Linked DNA regions of Sus scrofa. The protein of the gene in region 1 interacts with the protein of each later gene in a biochemical or structural test. Links are inferred from orthologs where the notes say so. Each region holds a gene or a part of one and is shown in the gene's direction. Other genes may lie near its edges.

Region 1 (3,518 bases):
CAACATTTACCCTGTGACATACCATCTAAGTTGTCAGACTAAGTCATTTCAGCAGTTTGATTCCACATCACTGCTATGAGAACATAAATATGTTTCATGTAATTATGAGGAATGATACTATTGTATTTCGTAGGATCCTCTAGGGAAATACTTGCTGTTTTCTTCAAGACTATCTAGACTGTGTAAAATAGATACATAGCTAGATACATGGCATTGATCACAGTTGAAATTCAGAAGAATAGCACATTGTCATCTATGTAAAATCAAATCCTTGGGTATCTACAAATTCAGCGTATGCCTTACTGAAAATAAAGCAGCATTTTTGCTGCATTCAAATCTCAACAAGAAAGTAATTCACATGTACTCTTCAAGTTAATTTTCACAGGATTCAATTTGTATTAAAGAAATTTTAAATTGTTATTTACTTTTTTATATATAGTACTTTCCAGGAGCAGATGAGCCATTACAATACCCCTGTCAGTATTCAGATGAAGGCCAGAGCAACTCTGCCACCAGTACAGGTAAATGGATAGATTGGAACAGTAATAACATAAAATTGTTCTATCTCTATTCCTATGAAATTATAATCAAGAAGCAATGAATGATGTCTTCATTTGCATTTTAATTTCTTCATTTAATGTGATTGACTGCAATTTGAATTTCCAGGTGCATCATTCTTCATGCAGGTATCCAGATTAAAGAGTTACTGAAGACCTGCTTCTAAGTCTTGAAATTCTTAGTCATATATAGAAAGACTGGATATTATATTGCTGTGAATGTTGTTCTTTATTTGAAAATAGTTCTTACACAGATATTGCTAGATCAGATAGTATCAGAAATTATTGTAAATATGTATATATGTAAAACAACTTTTTTTTTTATCATGAACACCCTACCTACCTTTTGGTCCTCGTAGAAGAATCTATGGAGACTCTAAAAAGCTGTGTTATAGTTCAGTGTTCCTCAGTTCCATAGTTTGTAGTCATCAAAAAAGATAGTAAAAATAATACTCTAACTTAAAAAAATTGTTCTTCTCAAAAGATATGCTATTTTAAGTATTTTTCGTCAATAATTTGATTAAAACTGAAACACATAGGTGTGAATTTACTTATTCCATATTTAGAATTTTGTTTTTACTGACAAATATTTTACTGGTCCATTTCCCCCTCTTCAAAAATATTTTAAGCTAGTTTACTATTTGGCTGGTTATTCCCAAATTACAGTTTTTTGAGTTGCTCTGAATGCTAACGTGAGCTTCTCTTAAAAACACCTCCTCAGAGTTCCCGTCGTGGCTCAGTGGTTAACGAATCTGACGAGAAACCATGAGGTTGCGGGTTAGATCCCTGGCCTTACTCAGTGGGTTAAGGATCCGGCGTTGCCGTGAGCTGTGGTGTAGGTTGCAGACACAGCTCGGATCCCACGTTGCTGTGGCTCTGGTGTAGGCTGGTGGCTACAGCGCTGATTTGACCCCTAGCCTGGGAACCTCCATATGCCGCAGAGCGGCCCAAGAAAATGGCAAAAAGACAACAACAAAAAAAAAAAAAAAAAAAAAAACCTCCTCTCCACTCCTCACTCCCAGCTAATCCTCTTTGCTCTTTCTCTATAATCAGAAGATAGCTGCCACAAGCCCCCCACTCCATCTGCCCACCCTCCTGTATCTGCCCCTCTGCTCTGCACTCCCTTCTGTTCTCCTGGCTGACCTATCCAAGCTACCAGCCAAAGGCACACCTATATCCTTATGCATCATATCCTCTCTGCTCTTCATCAGTTCTTCTCTGTCTCTTGCATCATCAGTTGTATCCTTTCTATTGGGTTCACTCTCAGAGCATATATACAGTAGTCCCCCCCACCCCCCAACTTGTCCCTAATTTCATTTTCTGCAGTTTCAGGTACCAGTGGTCAACTGCAGTCTGAACATATTAAATGGAAAATTCCAGAACTAAATAATTCATATGTTTTAACTTGCAGCCATATTGAGTGGTGTGGTGAAATCTCACCCCGCCTTGCCTCGTACTTGAATTACCCCTTTGTCCAGTATATCTTGCCTCTTGGTCACTCTGTAGCCCTTGTGGTTGTCAGATCTACTGTCGTGGTATCTCAGTGCTTGTGTTCAAGTGACCCTTATTTAATAATGGCTCCAAAATGCAAGAGTAGTGATGCTGGCAGTTCGGATATGCCAAAGAGAAGCCTTCAAGTGTTTCCTTTAAGTGAAAAGGTGAAAGGTCTTGATTTTAATAAGGAAAGAAAAAAAAATTGTATGCTGAGATCTAGGAAATTCCATCATGAATTTGTGCAGAAGGAAAAAGAAATTTGTGCTGGTTTTCTTGTCACACCTCAGACTGCAAACATTATAGCCACAGTGCAGGATAAGTGCTTAATTAGATAGAAAAGGTGTTAAGTCTATACAGTAAGACGTAATTTTGAGAGAGACCACATTCCTGTAACATTTTTTACAATGCACTCTTGTAATTGTTCTATTTTATTTTTAATTACTGTTGTTAATCTCTTACTGTGCCTAATTTATGAATTAAACTTTAGCGTAGGTATATATGTATAAGAAAAAAACGGTACTATCCAAAGTTTTAGGCATCCACCTGGGTCTTGGAACTTCACCTCCACAGATAAGGGTCGGGGGGTAGTCTATATTTGCATGTCTCTATCCATTCTTTCTTGTGCCCAGTCTTTTCAGGCTTCTATATTAGATTAATTACGTCTCTAGAATTGCTCTTGTCAAGGTCACCATTTATCTTCACAGTACTAAATCTAAGTGAGTAATTTTCAGTTCTCATGCTTTTTGATTCTCAGTAGCCTTTGACACAGCTGATTACTCTCTACTTCCTTCAGCACTTTGAGTTGGTCTCTAGGATAGTATACTACCCTGGATTTCATCTTACATCTCTGAGCACTTGTTTTTATGGTTTCCTATGCTGCTTAATCCTCATTTTCCCAACCTATCAATGTCAGAGTGCCCATGGTTCAGGCATTTGGCCTCTTTGTTTATTTTTGTAAACTCATTTCCTTGGTAATTTCATCCAAAGTCATGGCTTTATATACTATGTATTTGCCAATGCTTTGCTCCACCCCAGACCTAAACTCGACACTTATTATATATCCAACTACTTGCTTAATATCTAATAGGAACTCAAAATTACCATTTTCCAAATTTAGCTCCCTTCATACTCATTCGTCCATGGTTTTCCCCATCTTGATTAATTGCCACTCCATTCTGCTAGCTCAGGCTAAGAATCTTAAAAGTCAACCTTGACTCAGAAGAATTTTAGGCATTTTAGTTCCCTCTTAAATTTAAAGTGCTGTCCTTAAATTTCATTTAAAATGGGTTTATTTGGGTATCTTCATTAGCTTGAAAAGTTGTATTTTATTTCTGTCTGTATCTTGCTAGCTTAGAAAATAATTTAAAGTTACATTTTATTGAATGAAGCATTTGTATTATTCCTAACCTATAGTCATAAATGTTTCTGCTTTCCTAGGCTCATTCATGGACATTGCATCTACAAATA
Region 2 (3,518 bases), on another chromosome or scaffold:
TGAGTGCAGCCCTGAACAAACCAACCAACAAACAAAAAGGCAATGACATTCTGGGGAAACTGCTCTTCCAGGCTTGCAGGGAGACAGACATCAGGCAGAGGTGGATGAGTTGGGCATTAGATACTCGGTTAGATGTTTTCAGAAACTTGTCTGGGTTTGTGACCAGGAAGGCGCTTAGATGTTTTTGTGAGTCCCCTTCATTGCAAAGGCTGTGCTTGTCTAAGCCAGGGGTAAAGAGCTGGATGGAGTTTTCTTGCTGGAAATGTCACAAGAGCCCCCCAGCCATTCACACACACCCCCCCATGTGCCTTTGGAAGAAGAGGACGAGGACAAGGCCCCAAGAACCCATCCATTCAGCCAGGAATCTTCGCTCACCAAACACAGACAAAGAACAGTGGTTTTGCTTGTAATTTTGTTGTTTTGAGCTTTTTTCCCCAGTAACTGCTCTGCTTTGTCTGGCTCTTCCATTCCACAGGATGTGATCGTATCTCGCACAACAATGTCACAGTCACTTCAGGTTTAAGAGAGTTTAGTTCTGAAGTTCCCGTCATGGTGCAGCAGAAACGAATCGACTAGGAGCCATGAGGTTGCGGGTTTGATCCCTGGCCCCACTCAGTGGCTTAAGGATCCAGCATTGCTGTGAGCTGTGGTGTAGGTCACAGACGCAGCTCGGATCCCAAGTTGCTGTGGCTGTGGTGTAGGCTGGCAGCTGTAGCTCTGATTTGACCCCTGGCCTGGGAACCTCCATATGCTTCAGGTGCAGTCCTAAAAAGCAAATAAAATAAAGTAGTTTAGGTCCAGTTCAGAATTTCCAGGGATCCGCTACCTTTCCACTTCAGCACAGGCTGGATATGGGCAGGGAGGCGAGGGCTACGAAGACGCACTTTGTGGTGGAGATGAGCGTGGTCTGTTTTGTCTTACATGTGCACACGCACGGGCACGCACACACACACACACATGATCCCCCAATTCCTACCCCCTGCCCCGGTGTGTGTGTGGGGAGCACTGGGTTAAGGATCCAGGGCCAAAGATCCCAGGCCCCGGGAACTTTCATATATGCCTCAGGTGCAGTGGAAAATATAATTAACATTAATTCTGAAAATACAAGTAAAATGAGCTTTTATCAGCTTCTTTTTACTCTTTGTTAACGTGACTGCTAGAAAATGTTCAGTGCTATTTGTGGCTCGGAGTGTATCGCTACGGGACAGTGCTGGGCTGGAGAGCCACTTTGGGAAGCAGAAAGGGCATCTCTCAGAGTTTCATACCTTCTTGGTCCACTGAGAAGATGAGAGACAAGTCCAACTCCCCACTCTGCAGAAGCATTTGAAATCAGTGCCCTGCTGGGTGGTTGTGGGTTCTTTGCTCAGCCTGTCTGAGCTCTCTCCATCTCATTCTGTTCTCTCTCCACAGACAAATGCCAGGCTGATGGCAAGAAAGATAAAAGCAGATTTCTCAAAGGCCTGGATAAGCACTATATAAAGAGCTGTAAGTGATGGTCGCTCCTGCCATTTGGGGAAAGTGAGAAAAGCCAAGGGGAAGAATTCTGTCACTCCAATTACATGAATGCCCAATATAGGTGATGCCCATTTCTCATCAATTGAGAAGAACAGGCACATGGATAGGTTTTATTATTTTGAACTCAGGTAACTCACAAAACAATGACCAATCCCCACATTTAGAAGTAATTCAAATGGAATTCCTGTCGTGGCTCAGCAGTAATGAGCCCGACTAGTATCCAAGAGGATGTGGGTTTGATCCCTGGCCTTGCTCAGTGGGTTAAGGATCCGGGGTTGCCATGAGCTGTAGTGTAGGTCACAGATTCGCCTCAGATCCTAAGTTGCTATGGCTGTGGCTGTGGCTGTGGGCAGCAGCTAAAGCTCCGACATGACCCCAGCCTGGGAACTTCCATATGCCATGGGTGCAGCCAAAAAAAAAAGTATCCAAAAATAATAGAAAATTTTATATTTATTTCTTCATGCCTCTGAGTAAGGGAGGAAAAGGTAAGACAAAGAGAAGATAAAAGCAGCTCAATCTCTGTAGTATTCGCTGCCCCCAGCCGTAGGCTGTGTTTCTGGTTGTAAGGCTGGGACAGCTCAGGGGATGGAGCCCCACTGTAACAGCAGCCGAGGCCAAAGTCATCAGAGATGGCTCTGCCCCACGAGAGGTAACACTAGAAGTACCCTTTCTTAAAGGCCCACGTGTGCTAAGCACCCCACAGCTAACAGTTCAAAAATCCCACAGCTCTTCTCCAAGGATGCGTGTCATTATCAGCAATTTACAGTAAGTTCCCTGCCAGTCCAGGGAGCTGCGCTAAGTTACCCAAGTCATGTGACTACTAATTGAAAAAGACAATCTTGGAACACATTTTGCCAACACCAGAAACCACATAATGCCTTCCAAAGCCAGGGAGCGCGGTCCTCTTCCTCCCCCAGTTCTCCATGACAGGAGCTATTGGTGTTTGCAGAGGTTAAGTCCCCACTGTGCTCTCTGCCTGGTGTGCTGTGGAGTGTGTCCCGTCCAGGCCCCCGGAAACACTCTAGGCCAGTAGGGAATCGCCCCCCCCACTCCCACCCTCTGCCATTACTAGGACCATCTGAATGGTTCCCACACTTCCCCATGGGTGGGGACGGGGGGGGGGAAGGGGGCAGTCTCCACTGAGAACCACTGATGCGTGTTCTTATTGATGGCGGCAGGTGTTTGGTTTTGGATTTTGCAAGTTTCTGGTTATCGAGACCAAAGTTGGTTTTCTCTCCCCATTCCTAGGGTACCTGTTAGAGAAAAGCAATCCTACACCGATGGAAACTTTGGAGCCTGAGTAAGCCCTTCAGGTAGGAGCCCAGCCTCTGAGCACTGGTGGCTTCAGGTGGTGTAGTCAGGAAAGCTGGAGTCCAAACGCACAGATAGGAATGCACTGAACTGACACCGCATAGGAAGGATGGTGAGCAACTGTACAAGGACTTCCCAACACACAGCATCACCCTCCCTGACTGGAGTTAGGTGGGGATGAAGAGCTGCTCTCAGTTCCAGCCTGGGTTGGAGGGGTATAGGGACAGAGCAGAAAAAGAGGTTTAGAGGGAGTTCCCATTGTGGTTCAGCGGGTAACAAACTGACTAGTATCCATGAGGATGCGGATTCAATCCCTGGCCTCGATCAGGGGATCCAGCATTGCTGTGAGCTGTGGTGTAGGTCTCAGATTAGGCTTGGATCTGGCATTGCTGTGGCTGTGATGTAGGCAGCTCTGATTCGACCCCAAATGCCGCAGATGCGGCCCTAAAAAGAAATAAAAAGAAAAGAGGGACTTAGAGAGACTGTTAAGAGGGCCTGGGAGTTGGGAGAGGAAGAAGGGCAGTGGAGTTGAATGTTCTTGAAGGTTTCAGATGCTAAGAGCTAGGACAGCATGGGCATATGGGGGTGGAGATAGCAGGCATTTCATCCATCTCCCCTCCCCCTTCCCAGAGTGGGACACCCCCGCCCCAGGAAATACTGTGCCATTCAATCAGTTTACCCCTAACTTGTTC

What was found.
Region 2: the proteins of MAP3K7 (region 1) and TRIM31 form a complex in vitro, tested with the Homo sapiens proteins (2 studies listed by BioGRID, with this or other methods). The link is inferred for Sus scrofa from reciprocal best matches to the Homo sapiens genes MAP3K7 and TRIM31.

What each region holds. Positions count from the first base shown.
Region 1 is NC_010443.5:58,516,675-58,520,192, reverse strand, and holds part of MAP3K7 (mitogen-activated protein kinase kinase kinase 7), read left to right. Parts: intron 1-439; coding exon 440-521; intron 522-3,488; coding exon 3,489-3,518. UniProt on the Homo sapiens protein: Serine/threonine kinase which acts as an essential component of the MAP kinase signal transduction pathway. Plays an important role in the cascades of cellular responses evoked by changes in the environment.
Region 2 is NC_010449.5:22,671,232-22,674,749, reverse strand, and holds part of TRIM31 (E3 ubiquitin-protein ligase TRIM31), read left to right. Parts: intron 1-1,410; coding exon 1,411-1,485; intron 1,486-2,763; coding exon 2,764-2,815; intron 2,816-2,817; coding exon of another isoform or gene 2,818-2,828; intron 2,829-3,518.